Ovis aries: one gene and its partners. The protein of the gene in region 5 interacts with the protein of the main gene of each other region in a pairwise test. Links are inferred from orthologs where the notes say so. Each region holds a gene or a part of one and is shown on either strand. Other genes may lie near its edges.

Region 1 (4,101 bases), on a different chromosome or scaffold from region 5:
TCAGAGCTGCCCTGGGGTCTTCGCGGGCTGCCGCCTGCACCTGCGGTCAACGGGCGGGTCAAGGTCAGAAGTCAGAGTGAGCCCAGCCCACCCTGAAGGCGGCCCTGATAGCCCACACTCACCTTGGCTCTTTTTCCAGACGGCGGCGCTGGAGGCAGGGGGCCCAGGAGCGGCGGCCAGAAAGGGGCGCAGGCGTGGGGGACTTAGGCCAAAAGGCGCGGGGTTCAGGTAGGGCAGAAAGGGCCCAGTGGGGGCAGGGGCAGGGGTCGTGAACGGCTCGAGCAGCGGGTACGGCAGGCCAGGCGCCGGCGCAGGATCAGATTCCGGGGGGCGCTCGGATGCCGGCGACTCCCTGTCCAGTGCCGGGGGTGGCGGCGGCGGGGCTGGGCTTTGCGCATGCTCGGCGCAAACATGCAGATGCTTGAAGAGAGAGCGGTGCGTGCGGAAGCGCAGCAGGCAGTTCTCACACCTGGGGGGCAGCACAGGGCTGGGCTGGGTCTCCCAGGGGACCCAGGGAGGGGCCTATCCGCGTAACCTGGAGAGCCGCCGCTCCAGGGTGGTCAAGGACCCTGGGGCCAAATAACCTGACTCCCGCATCTGCGGGGGGAGGAGTTTGCCCTAAGCGCCGCCCACAGTGGTCGCGACCCTTCCGGACTTCCCCAGGTCCGAACCCTGGGAAGATGAGGAAGGAAGTCTCAATTTTGACCTAGGTGATCAGTTTTCCTCTTGGGAGGCAGAGGACTGGGCCGAGTCATGCCATCTCTGTTCCCCTTTACACACATACTCCCTCCCAAGCCCCGCCCTCGGGGTCCCTGGGATTGGCTCTAGAGACCAGTCTCTTCTGGGCAGGTAAGGGCAAAGCTGGCCCTAGATCACGCCCTCTTCCTGACTCAACCCCCTCGGAAAAGGAAGGGAGAAAAGCCAGGACCCCGGGTAGTAGCTGTCAAAATCGGTGGTCAGGGGGAGCTGCCTGACCAACAGAGGTCACGGTGGACCAGGTCTCACTTGAAGTAGCGGTTGGGTTTGTAGTGCAGCTTGCCGTGGGCCACCAGTTCCTGCATGTTGGGGAAGGTCTCGGTGCAGCTCAGGGCGGAACAGCGGAAGAGCTTGCCTGGCGGCGCAGGGATGAATGACAGAGGAGTGGAGTGGGGTGGCCAGGACTGGCCCAGAGGCTCGGCCCGCCTCCCACCCTAACCTGCCTCCCCACCATCTACCCTGGCCCTACCTTCCAGGGACTGTGTGGGTGGGCAGTGGGTACGCAGATGCTGTGCCAGGTCTCGAACGCTGGGGAAACTGAGGCAGCAGCCTGGGCTGGAGCATGGTATCTGCTTCCCTGAAGGACGCACAGAAGCAGGGGGAGGGTCACTATACCTTCCTCATCCACGCCGTCCAGGGCGCTGCCTCAGAGGGGCATTTATGGGGCTGCAACTACCCTGCAACTACTAACTATGGTTTCTTACTGGGGCCTTTACCCTCTGCCTCCCCCACCAGGAAGTAGCGGCTGAGTTTCCCTGGCTCCTCGTTGGAGCCACAGACTGCCACGCAATGGGGCTCATTAAGTGGTTATTCCTTCTAGGTGGGCCCCCAGTCTGGAGATACTCAGTAATCTGCACTTCTGTTGTTCCAGGCCTGTGATCCCCCAGAAGGTCCCATCACGTGTCACCTGGTGGTGGGCGTCGTCTGGGAGGTCGCAGGTCCTCACTGGTCTTGGAGACAGTGCTGGTTGGGCCAAGGCTGTGTCCAGGTCCTGGATGGCCACTGTCTGGGGCTGGGGAGGCACCCTGCTGGGTCCCTCCGGTGGGCCCTCCACGTTCCCACACTGGGGGTGTGGGTGCCCGGTCAGGGCCCGGCTCCTCCTCCATGGAAGAGGACTTGGCTATAGCAGCCACAACTGGGGACACCCCCTTGTCGGTCTCACTGGAGCTGGGCTCTGCAGTAGCCGGCATGTCCGGGCTGGGCCCCGAGGGTTCCTCATCCTGGTGGAAGGAAGAGGTGGGGAGAACCCCCTGGGCCCAGGGTCTGCCTGCGCCAGCTAGGGGAACACCTTCACCTCGCCATAACCATTCGGTGTTTCTAAAACAGCGAATGCCCCAGAGACGTCACCCAGTTGGCTCCCATACTAAGGAGAGGCAGTGGGTGAGAGGGTTGAACGTCTGCCTCCAGTGTCCCCGTCCTTCGGAAGAGAGTTGGGAGGTGTGCCAAATGTAGAAGGGGGTACCTTTCCAGGAAGCCCCTATATGATAAGAAGCATGCTCTGATCCTAACTTGGAAAGCTGGGGGGCCCCCCACTACAGGGCAGGGGCGTGGCCCTGAGGGAGTGGGCGTCGCAAAGGCGGGGCTCTGAACAGGACGCGGCTAAGAAGATTCTGGAGGGCCAGAAGTGGCCAAGTGGGTGTTTGAGGACCGAGATATATCTACCAGAGGGGTTCGAGCTGTGCAGGCGAACGGGAGGTGCTGGGACCCCAAACATATAAAGATCAGGGGGCGGTGCCTGAGCTCTGTAGGCGTGGCCCAGTCGAAGCCAGGACCGGAAGTAGGGGGTAGGGTGCTCCCTGAGTGACAGCGGCAGGCGACTGCCCGGATGTGGAGGCGGGGTCGGCTGGAGGCTTAGAAGGCCGCTCCCCGCCAGTCCCTGCTTGTTCGCCGCGTCCGCATCCCCGGTGCCGCGCTCACCATCCTCAGCCTGGTTCAGCCTCTTGTTCCTGCAGCTCCGGCGGCTCCAACTAAGGCTGCGGCGACTCCTTCGGTGGCCGCAGGCTCGCGCTCACGTCGGCGCCATTTTTCGGCTCCTAGCTCTCGCGAGAACGGGGGCGGGGTCCGCGCACAGTGCTCAGCGAGGAGGCGGGGCCTGAGATCCAGGATTCTCTGGAACTGCTATGCCAAGAGGGAGAGGGCAATGGCACCCAACTCCAGTACTCTTGCCTGGAAAATCCCATGGACGGAGGAGCCTGGTGGGCTTCAGTCCACGGGGTCCGGAAGAGTCGGACACGACTGAGCGACTTCACTTTGACTTTTCACCTTCATGCATTGGAGAAGGAAATGGCAACCCACTCGAGTGTTCTTGCCTGGAGAATCCCAGGGACGGCAGAGCCTGGTAGGCTGCTGTCTATGGGGACGCACAGAGTCGGACACTACTGAAGCGACTTAGCAGCAGCAATGCCCAGAATATGTGTACAGAGATCTAGGATTAAAAATTTCCCGGGCCTTTGTGTTCTCCTGTGCAAAATGAGCATCTTCGTTTGCTCCCGTCCCGTCACCATATCTCGAAGGGGGATAAACAGCAGTTCTCAGTTTTGAGAAGGTCATGTTGAGAGGGCTGCTTCTTTGGAGGGAAATTGCCGCGGACGTCAACATTTTCAATGCACTTAGTCCGGAAATTGGAATGGATCTGTTGAGATAGCCAAGGGCGGGAAACAAGTTCACTTTCCGTCCTCAGGACACCCGGAACGTGTGTAGCCTGAAGATGGAGTGGTGTGTGTTTTCAGGATAGGTGGAGAGCCCTGGCGTGAAATGAGTCACCTATCCAACTTACGTTCCTTGAGTGCCTAGTTTGTGCTAGGGTCTGGGGATCCAGAGATGAACAGGACAGGCCAACAGTCCTGCTCTCAGGGGGCACTCGCGTTTTAAAATGGGGAAACAGACAATGAATCAACAAATGCGGGAAATGATCTTATGGTTATATTAAGTGCCATAAAGGAAAAAGGGCTTCCCAGGTGGCGCTAGTGGTAAAGAACCCACCTGTCAATGCTGGAGATGTAAGAGAAGCTGGTTCGATCCCTGGGCCAGGAAGATCCCCTGGAGGAGGAAATGGCAACCCACTCCAGTATTCTTGCTGGGGAGAATCCCATGGACAGGGGAGCCTAACATGCTACAGTCCATGGGGTTGCAAAGAGTCAGTGGTGACTGAGTGGCTGAGCACAATAAAGGGGGGAAAAAAGCCCAGAAGGATGTGATGGTCACAGGCCAGGGAAGTTTCTCTGTGAGATGACTTCTGAGCTGTTGCGTGATTGTCCGGAGGCAGTTATTCAGTGGAAGTTCAGGAGGCCACATCGCTGTGGGAAGAATGAATAGCTGGTTCAAGTGGCCTGAGTTGGGGAGGGA
Region 2 (4,130 bases), on a different chromosome or scaffold from region 5:
ATGAAGCTGTGATCAAAAATCCTTTTACCTAGTCTAGCTTTGCTGCTGCTAAGTCACTTGTCGTGACCGACTCTCTGCGACCCCAGAGACGGCAGCCCACCAGGCCCCACCCACACCCTCTCCCTGGGATTCTCCAGGCAAGAACACTGGAGTGGGTTGCCATTTCCTTCTCCAATGCATGAAAGTGAAAAGGAAAAGTGAAGTCGCTCAGTCGTATCCAACTCCTAGCAACCCCATGGACTGCAGCCTACCAGGCTCCTCCCTCCATGGGATTTGCCAGGCAAGAATACTGGAGTGGGTTGCCATTGCCTGCTCCCAGCTTTATGGGACTGCAATAACACTTTAATTGTTGAGAGACTTTAAAAGTTCTCTCCTTACTGATGTATTACATGTTCGCTGAAGAAAAGCATAAATTAACAGTTACAAAGTCAGCTATAGCCAACCAACTGGAGATTTTTAAATGGCAAATTAAACTACTAGGTTGACAAGATAGTCTTATTGTATTTAGCTTGAAAACACAGTATAAAAATTAAATTCACTGTATTTTTTTAAGGACTGAATAATTATTTCCTTGAATGTAGGTAGATCCTATTTGATAATTCTAGAACTCTGGGCATCTGCAGATGGAAAGACAGATTCACCTGAACATAAATACTATGACAGAAACTGGTTTCTGTTTTTATCATCTGCTTATAAACAGAACCACCTTTGAAAGATAAAGTCGCTGCTCAAATAGTCACCAGGAACACAAAATACAGTACTGTTAACTTATATTTGCACTCAGTGCATCATAAAAGGCATAATGCACTCATCATAAAAGGTAAAATGTAATTCATTCCCTTTTGTTCCTTTCTGAATTACGCTCCTCCCTTCAAGTGCGGCTCCAATTCCAGGCTCCCCATTAGAACTTTCTGGACTGCTTCAACCCTCATTGGCATCATCCTTCCCCAAACCCTAATGGCTTCTCTTTCACAGGTGCACACCAGTCCATAAAAGATACAGTCACAGACTGAATGTCCTAGCTGAAGGTGTCCTTACAGATTATGAAAACTAGCTCCCTACTGATCACCAAATAAGAATCTAATCAGTAAATTCTGGAGGTGAAGCTGGGACAGGGAGGCATCATAGAGAGAAAGGGCCTGCCAAAGGGATAAGTGTACAAAGTGCTAATAGAGAAAAACAAATGCTGTATATAATACAGCATTGATTTTTCTTTTCCCCCCTTGTTATTTAACTGCTTTCTCTGACTATTCTGAATAGTATGAAAAATATTCTCAATAAAATAGTAATTAATAATGTGTAAAATGGCTTATAGTATGGGACATATTCTCATAAGCATTTTTAACAGTCCAGGGATCCTGACTGAAGTCCACTGAATCAGGCTGCTCGGTTTCAAATCCTGGTCCTTCCTCCCTTCCTCAAATTTTTGGCTGTGTGACATACTGCAAACATTATGCCTGTTTCTTTAACTGTGAAATACAAGAGTCATCAGCCACTTCAGTCCTGTCCGACCCTTTGCGACCCCTGGGCTGTAACCCACCAGGCTCCTCTGTCGGTGGGATTCTCCAGGTAAGAATACTTAAGTCGGTTGTCATACCCTCTGCCAGGGGATCTTCCCCATCCGGGTATCGAACTAGCGTCTCCTGCATTGCAGGCAGATTCTTTACGGACTGAGCCACCAGGAAACCCCTTAACGGTAAAGTGGTTTTTTTAAAAGAAAGGTAGAATGATTAAAGGAGATTATGTAAAGCACATGGCATACAGAAAGTACTGAATAAGCATAAACTATGTATTATAATACTAATCAGCTTTTCCTTCAGGAGCCTGCAAGTAACTCAAGAGCAGGATTTATGTCTTAACTCGTCTTTTAAGCCCCAAATCTTACTGAATGAACACGCGTCAAGTGCTGCAGACGTTTGGGGGCTTTGTTATTCGTTGATGATTTTTTTCCCCCAGGGTGGAGTCTTTTACATTCTGAGCAATCTCACCTCCAACGCCCACTTGTATCAGTGAAGGACAGAAATGTACCCCCAGGAGAAGCGCCATAAATATAATACTTTGAGCTTCTTAAACAACAGATTCGATTCTAAGCGCTTTTCTCTCAGCTCACCCCATCCCAACCCTCTTCTTTGCTGCAGGCCTTGGGCTGGGCTGGGAAACAGAACAAGGCAGTCAGAAGGCCGGGTTTCTGCCCAAGGAGGGGCAGAACTTCCAGGATAGGAGGCGCTTGGATGAGAACGACCGCGGACTTTCCCACTACCTCAATCAATCCTGGGAAGACCGTATCTCGCCCCTCAAGGGGCCTCAACTAAGCACCCCGACATCTTTTCCCCCCACAACCCGCCCAATTACCAAACCCCCTAGTAGATGGCCAGGGTCCCCAAAGTCTAGTTTGTCCAATCAGAAGACGCTATAGAACAGAAAGGCCGTTCAGCCCCACCCAAGGCCGCTCCTCCTTTCCAAGTGACAAATTATAAGCAAATTAAATCACAGACAAAACCGAGTGACGGAAGGCAAAGCCAATCAGCATGCTAGGAAAATGACTACCCGCCTCCAACTGACGGAACTTCCCCGCTGGTCGCGGTGACTAGGGGGAACGCCTCCCCCATCCCCCAACACACAAACTCTTCATGGGACGACTGCGTTACCTCGTGAGACACACATTCCAGCGACCGCAGATCGCTACAATAGCGGCAGAAGTAAAGCTGCGACAGCGGAGCCCGAACCTTCTTTTCTCCCTGGACTAGATAGAGAACCCGCTCCGATTGCAGCAAGGACGCCATCTTGTGGGGGAGGAGTCAACGACGCTCCCGTCGCATCACGTGACCCGAGGGCCGGCGTTTCCTTAGCTTCCTTCCTTACGTCTTTCAACGTAGACTTTGACGTAAGCATTCCGAGCAAGTGGGGCTTTGCGCAAGAAGAAAGTCAAAATGCGCATGCTCACCAGAGATACCAGCTTTCTCCCGGCAAGTTGGGGCCTGTTCTCCCAATCTCAGTTCCCCAAGCTCGTCCCCCTCCAGCGTTTTTGTGAGTGTCAACCGCCCGGACGGAGCTCAGACCGTTGTTTTGCTAGATGTGGAGTCGCAGATCAAATCCAGACAGACTCAGTACTGTTCTTTCCTTCATTTCTAACAGGAAGGTTGCTCATTTATTTAAAACTGCCTCTCCCGCTCTCACCTTCCAAACAAATCTCCAGAAGTTAGATGGAGGGTTTCTGAGACAAAGTTTCTTGGAAACTAGAAACTTAAGAGTCCACAGCAGCACTTACTTCCGACAATCTTACTATTGACCTATAGGAAACTTTCACAGATACTCTTTTGTAGTTTCTTACATCGAGCTCTTGCACGCAGAGCTGTATCTCATATCCTGGCTTTCCATATTTAGCATGAGAACCAAGTCTATATTGTGGATGTTAATGAAGCAATGAAATCAATGAATAGTGTTGCTAGGTGTTATTTACATTTTTCTAGTGCATGCATTAAGGCTTAGACATGTAAAATGACCACTTACAGCTAGGCTGGCAGAGACTGGAGCCCATGCTACCTGCTTCAGTTCACTGCTTTTCTCTTTGTACTAGAATTGAAAGTGCAAGTCGCTCAGTAGTGTCCACCTCTTTGCAACCCGATGGACTATACCCATGAAATTCTCCAGGCCAGAATACTGGAATGGGTAGCCTTTTCCTTCTCCAGGGGATCTTCCCAATCCAGGGATTGAACCCAGATCTCCTGCATTGCAGGTGGATTCTTTACCAGCTAAGCCACAAGGGAAGCCCAGTGTTGTATTACTATCTGTCTGATATTAGAGTTGGTGACTGAGAAGAAACAGAACTGAATAGTAATAATAGTTAACGTTTATTGAGCACTTACTGAATGCAGGACACTGTGTCAAAACTACGTAGTCTCATTTAATTTTCACCAGAACTCCAGAAGGCAGGTGCTATCATTATTTTTATCTCACAATGTAGGACATTGAGATCCCAGTGCTCTTCTCTTCTCCCTGGAAAGCCTGGCCATAACTGAGGCAGACTAAGATTCCTCTGCTCTGTGACTAGTAGTCACCAGTAGCAGAATCCCTAATGCATAGCGTAGTGACCAGCATGGGCCCTGAGCAGCAGCAAGGCCCAGGCACTA
Region 3 (4,185 bases), on a different chromosome or scaffold from region 5:
ACAGCTGGGCCTCTGTACCTATGGTTTGGAGTCTGAAGATTCAACCAGTGGCAGATTGTGTGGCACTGCATGTACTTACTGAGAAAAATAAGAGCATAAGTGGACCAACACAGTTCAAATCTGTGTTGTTCAAGGTCAGCTGTAGTCACTTGTGTACAGTAGGACAGGGAGTGGGAAGAACTAAAAAGGACTATCATTACAAGTCCTTTGTTATTATTTATTAAACATTATACATGTGAGTTTGATACAATAAATGAAAACAAAAATGATGGAAACGGTAAAGATGGTTTCCTGTCAAAGTAAAGGATGAGAAATAGGTAAACTAAGTAGACATGAATTTGAATTCTGAATGAACAGATCTTGCAAAAAAAATTAAGTACTTACTTTCCTTCTTCATCAACTTCTGCAGGGGCATTACCCAATTTTCGCTGTTCTTCTAGCTCCTTCTTCTTTCTCCAGTCCTCTCTAGTCATCTTCTTTGGTTCCTCCAAACTCATTTCTTTGGATCCCGACAAGGGGGCTGCATTAGCTGCATCCACAGCTGCAGCTGACATGGTTATCTAACCTCCTGCATGAAAAGGAAGAGATAACTATTAGAATAAACTAGGCCTGAGAAACTATCAAAAGTACACCCTAATAACACATACTGTGGGTTATATAGAATGTTTCATATGTTCTTTTTCTTTCATAGCATCTGTAAGGGAAAGGTCTCTTTCTCCTCCACTAACATCTTTATATGCTGCTGCAGTTGTGTTTTCAACTCTAATTGGTTAAGTGGAGAGAGACATGCACATGCATTTAAAATTTCATGAGACTCATTCTTTCATGTATATATTCCTGATTTCCTCTCTACATATGTGTCTCAAACTTTTCTACCACACTAATCCTTCTTGAGTACACAGGGTATTATCTCTGTTCCTCTTAAAAGCTGGACGCTTTAAGATCACCTATATTCATTATCTCTATTTCCACATTATCTGCTGCCCTTCTCAATCATTTCCCTCCCTGCTCCAAAGATACCTCTAAGTTAGCAATGTGCTAAGTCCTCTGGACATTTTTCAGTTCTGTTCCTCCCCCTTTTGATATATTCTTATCCTTTGGCTGATGTGACACCATATTTCCCTGGGTTTTTTTGTACCCCTTTCACTGCTCCTCCTGTATCCTTCATAAGTTCCTCCATTTCTGCCCGGTTACTGAATTTTGGATTCCACAAGGCTCAATTCTTCATCACTCTAAACTCCACCAGAAGACAAGTTCATCTATTTCCAAGGTTTCAATAGCCACGATATACAACTGTTGGCTCTCCAATTTATTTCTCTACTTCAGACCTTTTTTCTGAGCTTCAGATAAATACAGTCCAATTGCTTACTTCAAAGTACCTCCACTTAGATGTCTCAAAGAAACCTGAACTCAATTAGTCTTAATTCAAATTCATAATCTTCTCTATGAAATCTAATCTTCCACTGTTCCCTCTCCTGATGAAAGATACCACCATCCATTCCTTTTCATAAGTGTTCCATCTAATTCCCATACCTATTTCATCACGAAGTACTGTTATTTTCACTTTTTGAATATCACTCGAATTCATCTCAGTTCAGTTCAGTTGCTCAGTCATGTCCAACTCTTTGCAACCCCATGAATCGCAGCACACCAGGCCTCCCTGTCCATCACCAACTCCCTGAGTTCACTCAGACTCACGTCCATCAAGTCAGTGATGCCATCCAGCCATCTCATCCTCTGTCGTCCCCTTCTCCTCCTGCCCCCAGCATCAGAGTCTTTTCCAATAAGTCAACTCTTCGCATGAGGTGGCCAAAGTACTGGAGTTTCAGCTTCAGCATCATTCCCTTCAAAGAAATCCCAGGGCTGATCTCCTTCAGAATGGACTGGCTGGATCTCCTTGCAGTCCAAGGGACTCTCAAGAGTCTTCTCCAACACCACACTTCAAAAGCATCAATTCTTCGGTGCTCAGCTTTCTTCACAGTCCAACTCTCACATTAATACATGACTACAGGAAAAACCATAGCCTTGACTAGACGGACCTTTGTTGGCAAAGTAATGTCTCTGCTTTTCAATATGCTATCTAGAATTCATCTCCTTCTATCAATAATCTGAGTGTATTACTCTTCCCTACTAGTCTCTTCTGATTCCTGCCAATCAGTTCTCCACACTGCAGTGTTATTTTTTCAAACACAGATTTGGTCATATCTTGTCCCACTACCCAAACTGAAAACCCTCAAATGAAACGCTGTCCAAGAGAAACCACCAGCCCTATATGTCATTTTAAATATTCCACACACATATTAAAAAAGCAAAAAGAAACAGATAAAATTACTTTTTGCAATATTTTGTCTAATTATCAACACATTTTCATTTCAACATAGGAAAAAATAAACCAATTCTTTAAAATCTGATACGGATTTTACATGTATTCAGATTGGCCAACATTTCAAGTGCTTAAGAATTACAAGCACAGTTCAGGTCCAATAGCACCTTATAACTCTTACTTTAAAAACCACTGAAGACACAGTCCTGGTCTGACTGGGCACAAGTACCACTTCTGAGGCCTAGGACAGCTGCTTCCTTGTTTCTCGGTCCCCGTTCCCTTCTCAACCTTGCGTTCATCAATCCCGTGAGGATATTCCTAAAAATTAGGAGCCTCTGGCCCTGTTCCCCGAGTTTTCCACCTTCACCCTCCTCCTCATTCCAAGTTCTCACAAGATTTCCTTACCCGGTCCCACCGCTGCGGACCGTAGCACAGTTCGACAGGAATGAAGACGATCGCCAATGTTTACTTCCGGACTTCCTCCCTCTCCCGGCAGCCACTGTGGCACTTTCCGGGCGACCCACACATGCGCACTTGGGCCTCAGGGGCGGGGGGGGCGGGGCCCAAGCGAAACTGGCCTCGCGAGATCTCGAGCTGTTCCTACAGCTCTACGGTAGGTCAGTAGAATGGGTTAGGTTTGAGCAGCTGTTTTTCTGCTCCGTAGTTTTCATGTCTTTTAGACTCGACGAATATTACGACGTAAAGCAAAACAAAACAAATTTCATACGGAGAACAGACAATAGCGTAAGCATCGCTGGAGCGCTACGAAGTGCGTGAAGTTAAAACAGTTAAAATCACTATTAATTAGTAGCCAGGTTGTGTAACACGCTGGGGACAAAGTAAACACAAAATTGTCTTCCTCTCCTCGAATTTACATCATATAGAGTGAGAAAGACTGAATTATCTAAGTAATTTACAGTTTTAGAAAGCCGCTATGAAGGGTGTACTAGGTGCTTTGAAGACATGGGGCAATTCAGCAATTGTGACACCTCGCCCCTGATGTTGATACTGTATTTCACCATTAGGAAAAAAACGATTTACATTGTGGAAAAACAATGTCATAGATATCTCAACCTTTCTTTAAAGAATAATATGTAATAAAATACTGGAAAGTAATACTTTTGGAGTACAGTTCCCCCGCCCCCCCCCTTTAAATCCTATCTGTTCTGGTAACCTTTTATTTTTCAAAACAATATGTGTTTCTTTCAGATATCAAAATGACATCTTTGCCTCTAAGAGAATCTCATCATACTCTTATTAAGAATTTTTAGTGCATAGAGCATAGCAATGTAAATATTAATTTTGATTTTACAGGGCAAAAGTTGAAGGAATGGAAATTGTCAGAAAATAGTCTGAAAGTGAGTAGTCTATGAATCACTCACACTTAATTTTTATCTCCTTAATACAATTCCTGAAATTTGTTTGAAAGTGTTAAGGTCTGTTTAGTTAAAACTACCAGGCACAAGTCAGGGAATACATCTCCCAGTGGAATTATGGAATGTGCTGGACAAGAGGGAAGAACTGTTTGTAAGGTTCAGATTCCCCCTGGAGGATTCTAAGGAGGATCTGAGAAGCAGGGATCAGTTCTGGATGGGATGGCTGTTTGATAAACTGGGAACAATTAGGATCTTGGTGCGGTTGTAAAGTGAGGGTAGTTTAGCAATTTGGATATCACCAGTAACAGTCTGGAGAAGGCAATGGCACCCCACTCCAGTACTCTTGCCTGGAAAATCCCATGGATGGAGGAGCCTGGTAGGCTGCAGTCCATGGGGTCACTAAGAGTCGGACACGAATGAGTGACTTCACTTTCAGTTTTCACTTTCATGCATTGGAGAAGGAAATGGCAACCCACTCCAGTGTTC
Region 4 (3,500 bases), on a different chromosome or scaffold from region 5:
GAAATTGATAATGAATATCTATATGAGTATTAACTAATACAGTTTATCCCAGCAGAACATAAAAGGATAAAAAGACAGCATTAACTTTTGTGCAGGCCAAGAGCCTAATGGGTTATAAACACACCCTTCTGGCCTAGAGATAGAAAAGCAAATAAACAAAAAAACCCTTCCCTCTTATAAGCCCTGAAAATCAAAGATCTAACTAATACTGCCTTCCTCTGAAAAATATCAATATGGGGATATATTTTTAAATTTTAAAATAATTTAAACTCTAAGCTAGATTTTTCTAATTATTTATTGTTTATATTTCAATAGATACAAATCTTGACTCTAACTCTGGAACCCAAGAACTCACCAAAGAGTTTTCTGTGATGCAGAAATACCTCCATCTGCTGGAATTTTAGGTGTCTGTTAATTCTATAACCCTGGAAACTAAAAATCCAACTTTTTTGGTGGTGGGGTTAGATATTATTCTATTTAATTACATTTCAACAAGTATTTATCGTGTGCTGAAGATGTGCCATGCCCTGTGCTATGTGATGTGAAAACATGACAGGTTGAACTAAACTCCCTGATATCCAGAAGCTCACAATCTAGACGGAGGGAGAGTTGTGTAAATAACCACCATAACTCAATGGAACAAGTGACATACTTACAATACATATGCCATCAATTCTGAGGTTGAGATAGACTGGGCCATTGAGAGTAATGTGTGAAAGTCCAAGAAGAAAGCTCTTTCCTGACAAAGGTTATGTGTCAAGGCTCAGCTGCCTTTCTGCTCCTCCATCAACCCAAAAGTTCAGGTGTGGAAAAATGGTACAGCTGAGTACTGGATGCATTCAGGACACAGCTGCTAAATCTAAATCTATTTTGGCCCTACAAATGGAGCTAGATTCTGCCTGAAGGCCGAAGGCTGCCAAATCCTAATTTAAGACACTGCCTTTCAAAAAACAGAATTAAAAAAAGAAAGAAATACTCATAATGAAAGTACCTCATGATCCAGTGCACACATTACCTTTAAATATGATCCATAGTATTTCGTTACGTATGAGCTGTCACACTGACTCAAAACCGTTATTTCTTGCTGAATGTCTTCAATTTCATCTTCGGCTTCCTCGAGGTCTATGATTTTAATAGCAACCACTTGCTGGCTACGGTTATCAATTCCTTTGAAAACTTCTCCAAAGGAGCCTTTTCCAATGCGTTCTAATTTCGTGAAGAGCTCTTCTGGATCGGCTATATTATTCTGAGGGGGCAGGGAGAGAAGAAAGGGAAGAACACAAACATTTTGTATCAAAGTTTTAAATGAAGGAAAATAAATCATGTAAGACAATATCACATTTACCTAAAAGAAAGCATACAAATTCCCTTGACTCTCCACACGTGCTTTGTTAGAACAACTGTAACCCAAATGGGTAGTCCATATTCTACTGGATCACCCACATTAAATGGGCTTAGCTGATCCTGCTATCAGAAACGATCTCATACAGCAAATGTTGTCTCTGGTGCATGCCAAAGGGCCAGACTCTTTTTAGAATAAAGCAGTTGACTATATACAATTTACACATTAGTACAATGGTAGTGATAGTGAGAGAATACCTAACCTACTGTAGGTAGGGGCGTCATTAAAATTCTTACATTCCACCAGCAAAATATTACCTTTAAACTCTCCGACTTGGACAACCCAATCACAGCACCTGTACTTGAAAACCACCATGTAAACAACACACAACACAAAAGACCCAAGAATCTACAAGTCTTTTTTTCCTTCTTCTTTATTTGGGATCCTATCTGTATGTGTGGCTCAGATGGTAAAGAATCTGCCTGCCATGCAGGAGACCTGGGTTTAATTCCTGGTTCGGGAAGATCCCCTGGAGAATGGAATGGCTACCTACTTCAGTATTCTTGCCTGCAGCATCCCAGGGACAGAGAAGCCTGGTGGGCTATAGTCCATGGGGTCATACAGAGTAGGCTATATGACTGAGCATCTAACACTTTCAACTTTCATTTGTATGTAATGCTCTCATCAATGGCTGAAAATAAAATTCCAGAATAAGTCAATATTTTTCTACAGAAAAATCTGAATCAAGCATAACTTTTCAGGTTAACAAATGTATTGGCAAGACTTAGATTTTATAACTTCACTGTCCTTCCCTGACTCAGAAATATCCTTTATTTAATAGTGCACAATTTTTATTTCAAATTTGACTCCCATAGGATAACCCTTAACCTTACTTAAATTCATATTGCTGAATATATACTGCTGATCAAGTAGAAAAAAGGATTTCCAAACCTTATTTCCAAACCAAAAGTCATGTTATTAATTAATTTTACTTTTTCATGGAAGGGCATTTTATTTTAAATATAATAGTAGTGTGTACATGTCAATCTAATTTACACTTAACTGCCTTATTAGTCTACAACTAAAACTTTACTTTGAATTCCTTCAAAATATAGAAGAATGTTATATAGTTCTAACTTGTCTATATTTAATTTGTTAATTGCACCTAGATTATCTGTTCATTTATTACAATTTAACCTGGTCATCAATTTCAGGAGGCAAATTATAGTTATTAGCATGTTCCTCTAATATCTTTTTTATTAGACAAATAGATCATTAACATTAATTTTCTCTCAAGTTCATTGTACCATCATCACCAAACAGACACAGTAAACTGCCCGCTTTTGAGTAACTTAAAAACTTATGACTGATTTTAAAGAATTTCACCAATTTTTCTCTTTTCGACCTGCCTAAAAGACAGTTTACACATGACCTGCTTAATTTACAAGCTTACCCATTCTCCTTGATTGGACTTTTTCCATTTTTAAAAGACAATTTTCCATGTATGCCATAGTCTCTTTGGTATGGCAAGCTACTTGTTATCTCCACCCACCTCCAGTACTCACATGGGACAAATACATCTTCAGCTGCCCATATGGGCTTTAAAAATAGTTTAGACTTCTTTAAATTGCAAACGTTTCTTTAATGCCAACATTTTGTTATAAAATACCTTTTACAAAACTTGAGTACCATCACTATTGATTAACTTGGTGCTTAATTTCTTACCAAGACATTGTGATTACTATCACATAATAGCTAACCCACAAATTATTCTTCCTACTTTTGGTAATGGTTCCTTTCTTTCTAGTAGCTTGTGGCAAAAATACTCACCAAACAGCTCAGTGATAGGTTCATCACCTTATAGTTCCCTAAATTCAGTGAATTTGGAAAAATAAAAAGAGCAAATCTTTCAGGTTTCCTGATGTAACTACAAAATACTCTAAAAGTTATAAATATACCATTGATTAAAAAGTAGACAATACGGACTTTCTGATAACACATTCTGGACCAGGAGTATATTAACTGTATAATGAGATTTTTTTTGTTCTTGGAAGAAACAAAGATTAAATCCTAATCTTCCTAATTCATGTTTTAAAAGGATTTGACTGAAACAACCACCCCGAGGGAGAACACAGCTGTTCTCGCTTTCTATAATAAA
Region 5 (3,500 bases):
TGAAGGCGGCACGGGGCTCTGGATGAGGAAGCCGGGACCCGGGCAACCGGCAAAGCCCTGTGCAGTGTCCGTCTCCGGCTGAGGGGTCTGTGCCCGGCCTCCCCGGCCCAGGGGCTCAGACTGTGGAAGCAAGCCACCCCCTGCCCTCAGCCCCCAGGGTCATCACCCCGCCCCTGCCCTCACCCCCCGGGGTCTGCCCGCAGGTGGAGGTGAAGCGCCAGGAGGTTCAAGATCTGCAGCAGCAGCGGGACGAGTACCTGAACCACCTGCAGCATTACGTGGCCGCCTGCCAGCTGCATGTGGCCGCCTACCAGCAGCTGGCCTTGGAGAAGGAGGCGCTGCACAAGCAGATGCTACTGCAGACCCAGCTCATGGACCGGCTGCAGCACGAGGAAGTCCAGGGCAAGGTGGCGATGGAGGTGGCCCGCCAGGAGTTACAGGAGACCCAGGTGAGGGCGTCGGGACGCTGGGCCCCTGAGAGGGAAGGCCTGCGGCCTGTGTCCCTCCTCACTCTCTTCCCTGGCCCCTTAGGAGCGCCTGGAAGCTGCCAACCAGCAGAACCAGCAGCTTCAGGCCCAGCTGACCATCATGGCTGTGCCTGGGGAAGGTCAGTGGGGAGGCCTGGAGGGAGGACACTGGCCTGAGGAGCAGGGGGACGTCTGGCAGCATGGCACCGAGTTGTTTTTCAGCCCTGAGTTAGATGAGGCCATGGGGACGGTGGGTCCTCTTCCCCCGGCCACTGGCTAGCCCAGGGCTGCAGAGTGAGGTTGGGGGCAGAGCTGGGCTCTGAGCTTTCTTCCAGGCCTGCTCCGCCTCCGTGGTTGGGGGGGTCTGAAGACCCCCTGTCTGTCCCCAACAGGAGACGGACTGGACAGTGAGGAGCAGGATGAGGAGGCTCCAAGGCCTAAGCTGAGTGTGCCGGAGGAGCTGGAGAGCCGAGAGGCCCTGGTGAGCGGACCTCCCCACTCCTCGCCTGTCTCACTCCCCCCACCGCCACCCTACCCCATCCCCAGCGGTTCCTCTCAGACACTCTTCTTTGCGGTTTCTTCCCTCCATCTCTGGTCGTCCCCCAACCTCCCCTGGGAGCCGTGGTCAGCCAGCGTGTCATCCTCCAACCACAGGCGTGCGCCCCGAGACCCTGAGAAGAGGCATGTCTCTCTGCCTGCCCGCCCACCCCTCTCTGGTCCTGTGTGTCTGCCACAAAAGCACGTGTGCCCTCTCCCCCGCAGGTGGAATTTTTCCACTCGGCCTTGGCCAGTGCTGAGGATGAGCAGGCCCGGCTACGCGGGCAGTTGAAGGAGCAGAAGCTACGCTGCCAGCGCCTCTGTAACCTGGCAGCCGCAGCCCAGGATGGGGTGGAAAAGGAGGCCCCCGCCCCCAGGACTGGGGGAGACAGTGTGCCCGCGGAGGCGCACCAGGCCCTCCAAGTGGCCATGGACAAGCTGCAGGTGCGTGAGCTGCCCCCCAGTGGGGTCCAGGAAGGGTGGGGGCCCCTGTGGGCAGGTCGCTGCTGAGCCCTGACCCTGCCCTCTGGCGTTAGGGCCGCTTTACGGAGCTCATGCAGGAGAAAGTAGATCTGAAGGAGCGGGTGGAGGAGCTGGAGCATCGCTGTATCCAGCTATCTGGAGAGACGGACACTATTGGTGAGTGGGGAGGCTCGGCCCGGGGCGGGGGGCTGGATGCGGGCAGCACCACATTGCCTCTGAGCCACGTCTGCCCTCCCCACCTCCTGCAGGAGAATATATCGCCCTCTATCAGAGTCAGAGGGCCGTACTGAAAGCCCGCCATCAGGAGAAGGAAGAGTACATTAGCCGGCTGGCTCAGGACAAGGAGGAGATGAAGGTAGGGGTCCTTCTGCCCGTCTCTACAGGCCGGGGTGGGGTGCGGCGGGGCTGCTGAGTACTTCTCCCTCCAGGTGAAGCTGTTGGAGCTCCAGGAACTGGTTTTATGCCTGGTGGGTGAACGAAATGAATGGTATGGCAAATTCCTGGCTGCCCAGAAACCTGCTGGTGAGCCCACTACAGCACCCCACACCTGCCAGGAGCCCAGCACTGCTGACAATGAGGGTGGTGAGTAGTAGCACCCTTGGGGTACTGGAGGGCAGGCAGGGGTGAGCTGGCACACCACTCTAAGCTCTGCTGCCCTCTCTCCCCAAAGGCCTCCAGGAGGTGAGCCTCGCCGACAACGTGGAGCCCCCCCAGGGGGCCCTGCAGGGCCAGACCACCCCTGAAAACCCCACCGCGCAGCAGATCATGCAGCTGCTGCGTGAGATCCAGAACCCCCAGGAGCACCCAGGCTTGGGTAGCAACGCTTGCATCCCCTTCTTCTACCGAGCTGACGACAATGACGAAGTGAAGATCATGGTGATCTAGTGGCCTGACACCGGCAGGCAGAGACCACAGACATGGGGCCGGGGGCTTTGCCCCCACCTGTCCCTGCCTCCTTGTCCCTCTTTCCTCCCCCCCCCCCATCCCTAGACTAGCACGCTGAAACCCTTGAAGAAAGGGGTATAAGCCCCCCGTCAAATGAGGGGAAACAAACAGGTGCAGGCCCCTTGCCATCTTGGCCAGGGCTGTGTCTTGATATCTGGACTGCTACTAGTTCCAGAGAGAAACAAAGAGCCAGAGGCTCAATTAAAGGCAGTTTATTTAAGAGGCGGGCCTTCTTGGGGAGCAGGGGCTCCCTGGTGGCTTCCTCACCCCTACCAAGCAGTCCTTTCAGAGGGGCTCATGCATCCTCTATTCAGAGGCACTTTGGGGCCAAGTGCCCCCTCCTTGCCCAGCTTGACAACTGGGCAGCACTCTCACAGGCCTTGGGACAGTTGGGCAAATTGAGGCCAAGCAAGAACATAAGCTGGTGGCGGAGTGGGCTCCCTCCCCAGTGTTTATACTGTAACTCTGTAACATTTTGTATATTCTGGAGGTAGGGCAGCGCCCCTGTATCTCAGCAGAGGTTGGAGCTGGTGAATGGGGAGGAACTTCTATTAAATATTTGGGGCTGGGGAAACTTATTTATTAATAGTATAGGGTAGAGAGAGAAGGTGGAGGCGGGGACGGGTTTGTGCCCGGGTGATTCGACTCCTATTTCGTTTCACTTTTTATTTCTGAATAAATGAATTTAGCCATACTGCTTGTCCTGGTGTGTGCCTTTTTTCTGTCTCTGGGTCCTGGGGTCTGTGCCATGAGCACTGAACAGGGAGCAGGTCCTGCCAACAGAGGGCAGGCTTCTAGTTGTGCCAATCTCCAGGGTGTCTGGGCACATCCAGTGGGGCTGTTAGAGATCTTTTGAGGCCTGTCACCCACTGCTGCCTGGTGAAGCCTGGGGGACCCCAGGGGAACTCCAAAGGGGCTCTCAGGGGCCATCCTGCCTTAATAGCGGAGTGACTCGAAGTTGGATCTGATCTCAGGGAGGGAAAGCAGAGTGCCGCAGCACCAAGTGCTGACTTCCAGCTCAAGTGTCCATTCCATCACCCTGTCCCTCCACAGTGTCTGGCTGGGCCG
Region 6 (3,966 bases), on a different chromosome or scaffold from region 5:
CGCCAGTTCACCATTCAGCCTGTCTGTGCAATTCTCACAGGAAACCCATGGGAAGGTGGCCTTATTCTCCCCATTTTGCAGCTAAGCACACGACAGACTTTTTGAACAGGTGAACCACGGGAGAAAATTCCTTTAAATCCTGTGTATATTCAATAGTTAGTGCTCAGTCTCTGTCTTTGGGACCCCATGGTCTGGAGCCCATCAGGCTCCTCTGTCCGTGGAATTCTCCAGGCAAGAATACTGGGGTGGGTTGCTATTTCCTTCTCCAGGGGATCTTCCCGACTCAGGGATCGAACCTGCGCCTTCCGCGTCTCCTGCACTGCAGGCGGACTCGTGTATATTCAGTAACAGCAACTAACTGTGCCCTAACAACAACTAGGTGACAAAAAATTGCACAAGTAGGGCAGGTGCAGAACCCCGACGTCGGTACGGTGTAGGTGTAGTGTTATTCACGGTCGCCTCTTTCGGCGGCAAGCCGAGCTCCAGCATCTCTAAAAGCCAGAGGTCGACCCCTCAGCCTGCCCCGTGTCGCCCGCTTCGTGCCATTTCCGCAGGTCTCGGGTGGGGAAGGGGAGGCCCAGGACCCAGCTTGCTGAACGAGGAAACATCCAGACGCAGACTCCATGAACTACCCCGTTTCTAGCCAAGATTGCTGGCCCTGAAGCTTCCCTGTGCAGAAACTGCTCAACATGCTACTGAAAAGGGGTTTCAGAGGCCGCCATTTCTCTCTGGCCATTCCCAAGCCCATATCGTTGCGGCCCTATATTGCCCATGGACCTCCGCAACTCAGTCTTTCCCCTTCTTTTGTGCAGGTTAGGCAAAGCCTTGCTGTCCCTCACTCCGACAACAACTTAAAATCAAATCTAGGAAGTAAAAACGCCGCCGCCCCCGGGGATGGGGGTGGGGCAGGGGGTTAGGGGTGGGGGAGGGGAGGAGGCCACCGCCCCGCCCCCGCCCCTCGGCTCCTCCAACGCCTCGGAACTACCAATCCCAGCGTGCCCCGGGGCGGCGCGGGCGCAGGGGCGCGTGCGCGGCGGGCAGCCGTTGGCTGGAGCAGCAGTTGGGCCGGTCGCGGTGCTGGGCGGTCTGCGGGCGCTGGCAAATCGGGCCCAGGATGTAGAGTTGGCGGTGCCTGACGGCGCGTCTGACGCGGAGCTGGGTGGGGTAGAGAGTAGGGGGCGGTAGTCAGGGGTGGTGGGAGAAGGAGGAGGCGGCGGCGGTGAATCTTTTATAAATGGCGCCGAAGCAGGACCCGAAGCCTAAATTCCAGGAGGGTGAGTTTGATCCCCTGGGGACAAAGCATCTAACGGCCCGGAGAGGGAGGCGGTCTCGGGACGGTTGAGATTTGGGGACTGGGGATGGCGAGGGCCGTGTCCCCAGGCGGCGGCGGGCAGGGCTTTGTGCGGAGAAAGCGCATTGCGGCGAGGTTTTTCTGTGCTTCGTGAGGATAAAAACACTTTGGGAGGCGAAAGCGTTAGGCAGGCGTTAGAAGGCGAGAGGGAGCCGTTGCCTCGTGGCACAGCCTTGGTGCTGTGTTTGTTGTCGTTGAGAGGAAGAGGGCGCGGAGAAAGTAGCCTATTGTAGGGAGGCGGCGGGCGCGCCATGGCGGCCGTTAGGGGAAGTGATGTGGCGTGGGGGAGGGGAGGCGGCGGCGGCCGTTTCGGGCTCCCGTCCGCGTGGGCGTCCGAGGGTTGGCGCTCCGCGGCGACCTCCAGCCGCGAGCGGATAGCTCGCGGTGGAGCCGCGGAGCCGCGGCTGGAGGGGGTTGGCTTCGCTTCTCGGGGCGGGAGAACTGCGTTGTAAGATGGCCGCTGCAAGATGGCGGGCCCATCATGGCCGCCGGCGCCTGGATCCACGGCTCGCGGCCGCAGACGCCGCTTTAGGGCAGAGGAGCGCCCCCTTCTTCCCCCGCCGCAGATCGGGAACCGGTTTTTCGGCGCTGGCCCCGGGGATGTGGGTGGGGACAGGAGGGAAAAGCGCGAGCGTTCACTCGGCTTTGTGTCGCCCGAAGGCATCCCTTTGCTCTCGGAAAAGCGGAGTGTTGGTGTCCTATGGGAACGTGAACGCGCTCTGGCTGCGCGGTGGCTTGTAAAGCAGTAATGAAAAACTGCTTTAATGCGGTGTTACTACCTCATTTATGTGAAGTCCCGTTGTCTTGATGTCAGCCTTTTAAGTACGGCAGTGGTTTGGTTAATTGCAATAATTGATTAACAGTGATTTGAAAGTTGAGTTTTTATTGTCTCTGATCAACGTGAAGGCTGACTGTAGAGAGCCTGATTTCCAGAGGAAGACAGCTCTGTAATTTTCACTATTACTGCATCTGTTAATTTATATAGTGGAGGTTTAACAGTAAACTGAAGTGGATATAAAATTATGTAAGGCAAGCAAGAACACTTTAAAATGCTCATTCACATTATTGTGGTTGTACGTGTTAGATACCACGGATGTCGAGACGTCTGCAAAAAATTGTAGGGATGTTCAAACTTTGATATGCGTTAGAATTACTTTGAGTCATACACACAAAATCCAAGCGTATTGTAACAATGGAATATTTAAAAGATTGCCGCGGGTGTTTTCCCTGTAACTGGCTCTTAATACCTGCTTTCTCTCACTCTGAGAAGCTACGTGACGACTACTGTGAATTGCTTGCATTGCTTTTAAAAAATCAGATGTTTTAGAGCAAGGATTCTTGATCTAGGGTGTTTATAATTCAGAACACCCCTTGTACTTGGACAGGAAAGAGTTTTTTTTCGATTTTCTAACTAAAATTAAATCTACAGTTATGACTGTAGATTTCCTCCCCCACAGAAAAGCAAAACAAGACCCTCCCACAGTAGTAGTAGCTGTAATGTTTTCACATCCCAGCATTAAAGTTGCAGAAGATACATTCAGATGTATGCTTTTCGTTGTTTCAGAATTGTGGTAGTTTCCTGGATCAGCAGCTAAATGTTTATTGTATCAATTAAGGAGCTCATATAATACCATAACACATGATGTTTTAAGTGTTTTTATAACTGTCTCAATATAGTTCGTTTCTTTTGTAGTACGGTTTTACATGTTTGTAGAAACATTCTGAGAAAAGGCCCAAAGACTTAACCGGACTGAAGGGTCCACTGCACAAAAAAAATTTATCCTCACTGTAGGACATCAAAGGTAAACGACACAGACTTGGAACAGTTAAGGATGGCTTTCTGGAGGAAGTGCTTTAGTTCTAAACTGGAAAGGATGGTAGAGTGAGGGAGGATCCATATGCTGCTGTAGCAGTGAATTGGAGAAGAGGGCGGCAGAGGATGAGTTGGTTAGATAGCATCACAGAGGTAAGTGGACATGAATTTGCGCAAACTCTGGGAGATAGTGAGATAGTGAAGAACAGGGAAGCCTGACGGTGCTGCAGTCCATGGGGTCGCAAAGAGTCAGACACGACCGAGCGACTGAACAGCAAAAGGAGCCAATGTAGCGCTATGGTTTTGAAAGCTACCTGAGTCTTTGCACTTTGCAGACGTGTTTTCTACTCCTGTGTCAAAGTTGGGTTGTATAACCATCTTTTAAGAAATTATTATTTTGGGGATTCCCAGGTGACCCTAGTGATAGAGAATCCATCTGCCAGTGGAGGAGAAGGGGAGAGCTGAGGGTTCTCTGCGTGGGTAGAGATGCGCCCCTGGAGAAGGAAAGGCTCCACTCCAGTGTGTTTGTGGAAAATCTCCATGGACAGAGGAGCCTGGTGGGTTACAGTCCATGGGATTGCAAAGAGTTGGACAAGACTGAGTTATTTAGAAGAGAATATCTTGTAAGGAGAAAGGAATATTCTGTAGGAACTAGCAGAATTATATTAAAACACTGCAGAAGAATTGAGCTAATGTGACGGTAAAAATACGAATGATGGGAAAGTTTTTTTCCGATTCTCTTTTAAACTTGAAAATTTCTGTTGTTAAATAATGGTGCAGCATATGTTACAAGCATTTTTTC
Region 7 (4,095 bases), on a different chromosome or scaffold from region 5:
TCAGGACGTTGACATCCAGACTGGACTCCTCTCCATGGCTGTCCAGGGGGGACCGGCTGGAGGCCGCTAGAGCCAGGGTTTTGTTCTCCAGGTCCAGCTGCAGAATGCGCTCCTTCAGCTTCTGGATGGCCAGCTGGTCCTTCTGCTTGGCTTTCTCGTAGGTGCCCAGCAATTCCGACACCTGGGATATTTGATTCTCCAGGGCCGCCACCCTCTGCTCTTCCAACTGAGACTGCTGGCGCAGCTGATCCTCAGCGAGGGCTGTCTGAAAAAACAAGGGAACAGGTGGAGATGCATCCAGAAAAGCCACAGGGTCGGAGGGTCAACTTTAAGAAAGCAAGAGAGGGAGGACAAAAAGGTTATGGGATGCAGGTGGCCTGGAAAAAAATGGGAACTGGGAAGCTTTCTGAGTTTGGGAGCTAACCCAAGCTCCTGTAACTTGCTCTCAGACACACATTATACCCAATGATATTAAGAGTCTTTGGAGATCTGCTACTGTTCTGCTTTAGTGTTTCTACTCTCTCCACCCATACACCAAGCTCACGTGTAAGTGTGCTGTTCACCATATTACATTCTTTTCCTCTTCCAACATTCCTGGAAGTTCAGAGTTGGCTTGGATCTCTCCCCACGCTGAAAGGAGGCACTGGAAAATAGCCTATCTTTCCAGACATGGCAAATATTGACTGCAAGCAATAGAAGAGGTGATTTCTTCTATGAAAATTCCCTTTGTCCCCTCCAGCCACCCTACCTACAGGCATCCACTGCTACCCATAGATAGGCATACTGCCATAAGCCCCCACTCCACCTTCCACTGCACAGCCGCTGCTACACTGCTTCACAGAGCACAGCTGGGAAGATGCCATGCCCTGACACTCAGATCTGTCTAGCTCCAACTTCAGACTACACTCAGAAACTCCACATCCTGTTGGAAGCACTCTGTGGATACTGTCAACACCACACAGAAAAGGATTTCTCAGGACCCACAAGTGAAACTTTTCGAAGCGCATAAAAAACCAACAGTGCAGGCACTTAGTTCTGTCAAAGGAGAAAAAAAAAAAAAACACTAATATTTCCCCATGTGTCACAAGTGGTGTGTGCTGACTCGTGTCTGACTCTTTACTTCCTTATGGACTGTAGCCTACCAGGCTCCTCTGTCTATGTGGTTTTCCAGGCAAGAATACTGGAGTGGGTTGCAACTTCCTACTCCAGGGGATCTTCCTGACCCAGGGATCAAACCCATATCTCCAGAATCTCTTCCATTGGCAGATGGATTCTTTACCACTGAGCCACCTGAGAAGCCACTTTAAGTTAAATGACTCATGTTTGAAAGAGATGAAGATAATTACCTTTCTCATTTCCTGCTGCAACTGAGCCTGGAAATGGCTCTTGAGGCAGGCAGCCTCTTCTTGAAGCTCCTTCAGCCGGGGGTCAGGCTGATTCTTCTCATCTCGAAGAGCCTGAAGCTCACCTTTCAGCTCTTCCACCTCACGGGTCAGTTGCTTGGTCTGCAGTTCAAACCCTTCCATCTGACCGGCTGCATAGGCCCGCCCGGCCAGAGCTTCCCGAGTCTCTTCCAACCGAAGCTCCAAGTCCTGGCGCTGGGCCCTCTCCTCCTGCAGCAGTTTCTGGAGCTCACGCAGCATCAAGGCATGGTCGCTCTGCTCTTGGGCCCGATCATGTTGCTGCGTGATAAGCCGGGCTTTGGTTTCTGCTATCTGTTCCTGCAGCCCCTTCAGTTCTCCCTCCAGCCGGCCCCTCTCCTCCTCTGCTTTCTTACTGGCATCCTCTAAGTCCTGCTTCATCTTCTTTTTGTCCGCCAGGTAAGAAGCTTCCATGCGGGACTTCTCCTGGGTGACTGTAGCCAAAGAGCTGGTCAAAGTAGCCAACTGAGTCTTCAGCTGGTGCAGTCGTTTGTCCACCTCCCCACCCCCAGATGGTCCGTCCCCACTACTACTGCTAACGCCACTCTCTGACCCGCTGGCCTCTTCCAACTTTGGAGGAGGTGGTCCACGGGCCAGTCTGTCATCTTCTACCCCAAACTCACCCTTGGTGCTGGTGATACTGGCCGCAGTATCCAGGCTGGCGGCGGTCCCTGTGCTATCCTCGCTGTGAGTGGAGCATCGGTCATCCACAGAGTCAGGAAAGGTGAGGCCTTGAGGCTGCACACCTGCGAGGCCTACATCCGCCTCGTGGGATACAGACAGTACCTTAATGCTGGCCTCCAGCGCCTCTTTCTCCTTCAGCAGACTTTTATAGGCAAGGACTACATCCTTGAGACGAGTTTGGTACTGGAGGAGCTGCTTCTTCTGAGTCTCAATGGTCTCCAGCAGGTCCTTCTTGCTTGGGCCGCCCCCGAAATTCATTCCAAACTTCTCCATGAGGGTTCAGGACGGGTTGCTCCAGGCCAGGGTTTGGACAGGCTGGGAGAGCGTCACGAAGATGCTAGCAGGGGTTGTATGCGACGGGGAGATAGCTGTCCCCCTCTGCCGCACATCCGCTCCAAGCAGCTGTTTGAGACCGGATGCAGGGCGGCGGGGCAGCAGGGCAGAAACGCTTGCCAGGTCCCAGACAGGAGGGCGGGGGCGGGTCCTATCCTAGAGGCGGGGCGACGCTGGCACAAGAAGGGCACACTGCCAGGGCTCGCCCGCACTGCCCCAGAAGCCGCTCCGCGCTCCCCGCTCACCCAGCCACAGCAGCACCGGCCCGGCCCCGGCGCACTACAGGCCAAAGGTTTAAGATGAGCGTAGCTCCATCCCGACTTCCTAACTCTAGCGGCTGGGACAACGGCGCTTCCGGGTCTGCTGGAAGTGACGAGAGCGCGACGTATTGAGCCCCGCCCCCAGTGGGCGCGAGGTGGGCGGGGCTACCTCAGCCGGCTGGTGGGAAGAGAACCCAGCAGGGCTGAGAACTGGTCACTCTCCGGCCGAGTGCTGGTTCCTCTCCACCACAGCAGAGCAAGCAGAGTCGAGTACACCGGAGTCATGTTGGTTTGCTGAAGGCGCCTGATCTTGCTCTAGCGCTAAGATCAGCGAGGGACGGGGGCGACATTGTAATGAGCCCTTACCAAAGACTCGGGTAAATGACAGGCCCCACTGTTTGGGTGCTCAGTACCGTTGTCCTTAAAGAGCAACAGTTAAGACTACCATTTAGACCACAAAGATGACAACCCTTTCTAGGACAGTATTTGACACCTAGACGGTGTATAATTATTATTACACCTTTCCTGAGTTCTGCTGGGTTCATTTAACAAATATATATAAATAAATATATATAGGCATCATGTCCATTCTAAGTGCCACCTATATTTCAGAAGCTTCACAAGAGTTTTGCTATTTAGTCTTTATAATTAATCTGCTGAGCATCATTAGCACTATTTTACAGATAGTGCAACGTGAGGCACAGAGAAGTTAAGTAATACACCAAGGTCACATAGCCTTGGGTTTAGAATCCCATGTAGATCGGTCTGATTCTCAACATACCAAGTGCTATGCCAGGTGATCACCAGGAAAGGACAAGCTCCTACCCTCAAGGAGCCCACATCTAGAGAAGCAGCAGCCATGCAAACACAAGTATATTCAAAGTGATACTGAAGTTAAGAGGAGGGAGCCCTGTCTAAGGGAAACAGCGCAGGCTTTCAGGGGAAATGAGTTGGAATTTGAAGAGTAAGTACTGATTGTCCATCTAACTAGAAATGAGGGAAACAACATTCTGCTAACTGCTGCTAAGTCACTTCAGTCGTGTCCGACTCTGTGCGACCCATAGACGGCAGCCCACCAGGCTCCCCCGTCTCTGGGATTCTCCAGGCAAGAACACTGGAGTGGGCTGCCATTTCCTTCTCCAGTGCATGAAAGTGAAAAGTGAAAGTGAAGTCGTTCAGTCGTGTCTGACTCTTGGCGACCCCATGGACTGCAGCCCACCAGGCTCCTCCGTCCATGGGATTTTCCAGGCAAGAGTACCAGAGTGATGTGCCATTGCCCTCTCCAAAACAACATTCTAGGCAGAGGGAAAACTTGCAAGGACTCTGGAGCATCAGAGAGTTTGTCTCACCTGGGAAGCATTGAGAATCATTTCAAGGCAGTAGCTTAGGGTATGCAA

What was found.
Region 1: the proteins of GOLGA2 (region 5) and ZNF414 interact in binary tests that used the Homo sapiens proteins (3 or more experiments, as listed by UniProt). The two-hybrid records come from large-scale screens. The link is inferred for Ovis aries from reciprocal best matches to the Homo sapiens genes GOLGA2 and ZNF414.
Region 2: the proteins of GOLGA2 (region 5) and DCTN4 interact in binary tests that used the Homo sapiens proteins (3 or more experiments, as listed by UniProt). The two-hybrid records come from large-scale screens. The link is inferred for Ovis aries from reciprocal best matches to the Homo sapiens genes GOLGA2 and DCTN4.
Region 3: the proteins of GOLGA2 (region 5) and SLU7 interact in binary tests that used the Homo sapiens proteins (3 or more experiments, as listed by UniProt). The two-hybrid records come from large-scale screens. The link is inferred for Ovis aries from reciprocal best matches to the Homo sapiens genes GOLGA2 and SLU7.
Region 4: the proteins of GOLGA2 (region 5) and STK26 interact in binary tests that used the Homo sapiens proteins (3 or more experiments, as listed by UniProt). The link is inferred for Ovis aries from reciprocal best matches to the Homo sapiens genes GOLGA2 and STK26.
Region 6: the proteins of GOLGA2 (region 5) and MORF4L1 interact in binary tests that used the Homo sapiens proteins (3 or more experiments, as listed by UniProt). The two-hybrid records come from large-scale screens. The link is inferred for Ovis aries from reciprocal best matches to the Homo sapiens genes GOLGA2 and MORF4L1.
Region 7: the proteins of GOLGA2 (region 5) and GCC1 interact in binary tests that used the Homo sapiens proteins (3 or more experiments, as listed by UniProt). The two-hybrid records come from large-scale screens. The link is inferred for Ovis aries from reciprocal best matches to the Homo sapiens genes GOLGA2 and GCC1.

Annotation. Positions count from the first base shown.
Region 1 is NC_056058.1:14,856,404-14,860,504, forward strand, and holds the start of ZNF414 (zinc finger protein 414), read right to left. Parts: upstream 2,801-4,101; 5' UTR 2,677-2,800; coding exon 2,674-2,676; exon of another isoform or gene 1,977-2,673; coding exon 1,664-1,976; intron 1,334-1,663; coding exon 1,226-1,333; intron 1,112-1,225; coding exon 1,006-1,111; intron 470-1,005; coding exon 123-469; intron 41-122; coding exon 1-40. UniProt on the Homo sapiens protein: May be involved in transcriptional regulation.
Region 2 is NC_056058.1:59,874,098-59,878,227, forward strand, and holds the start of DCTN4 (dynactin subunit 4), read right to left. Parts: upstream 2,801-4,130; 5' UTR 2,784-2,800; coding exon 2,649-2,783; intron 1-2,648. UniProt on the Homo sapiens protein: Part of the dynactin complex that activates the molecular motor dynein for ultra-processive transport along microtubules.
Region 3 is NC_056058.1:69,558,318-69,562,502, forward strand, and holds the start of SLU7 (pre-mRNA-splicing factor SLU7), read right to left. Parts: upstream 2,801-4,185; 5' UTR 2,729-2,800; intron 569-2,728; 5' UTR 555-568; coding exon 385-554; intron 1-384. UniProt on the Homo sapiens protein: Required for pre-mRNA splicing as component of the spliceosome. Participates in the second catalytic step of pre-mRNA splicing, when the free hydroxyl group of exon I attacks the 3'-splice site to generate spliced mRNA and the excised lariat intron.
Region 4 is NC_056080.1:102,807,049-102,810,548, forward strand, and holds part of STK26 (serine/threonine-protein kinase 26), read right to left. Parts: intron 1,247-3,500; coding exon 1,016-1,246; intron 1-1,015. UniProt on the Homo sapiens protein: Serine/threonine-protein kinase that acts as a mediator of cell growth. Modulates apoptosis. In association with STK24 negatively regulates Golgi reorientation in polarized cell migration upon RHO activation.
Region 5 is NC_056056.1:8,025,803-8,029,302, forward strand, and holds the end of GOLGA2 (golgin subfamily A member 2), read left to right. Parts: intron 1-203; coding exon 204-449; intron 450-531; coding exon 532-607; intron 608-859; coding exon 860-948; intron 949-1,229; coding exon 1,230-1,448; intron 1,449-1,540; coding exon 1,541-1,643; intron 1,644-1,735; coding exon 1,736-1,842; intron 1,843-1,915; coding exon 1,916-2,069; intron 2,070-2,157; coding exon 2,158-2,372; 3' UTR 2,373-3,126; downstream 3,127-3,500. UniProt on the Homo sapiens protein: Peripheral membrane component of the cis-Golgi stack that acts as a membrane skeleton that maintains the structure of the Golgi apparatus, and as a vesicle thether that facilitates vesicle fusion to the Golgi membrane.
Region 6 is NC_056071.1:22,937,796-22,941,761, forward strand, and holds the start of MORF4L1 (mortality factor 4-like protein 1), read left to right. Parts: upstream 1-1,166; 5' UTR 1,167-1,234; coding exon 1,235-1,274; intron 1,275-3,966. UniProt on the Homo sapiens protein: Component of the NuA4 histone acetyltransferase (HAT) complex which is involved in transcriptional activation of select genes principally by acetylation of nucleosomal histones H4 and H2A.
Region 7 is NC_056057.1:93,527,761-93,531,855, forward strand, and holds the start of GCC1 (GRIP and coiled-coil domain-containing protein 1), read right to left. Parts: upstream 2,801-4,095; 5' UTR 2,379-2,800; coding exon 1,347-2,378; intron 266-1,346; coding exon 1-265. UniProt on the Homo sapiens protein: Probably involved in maintaining Golgi structure.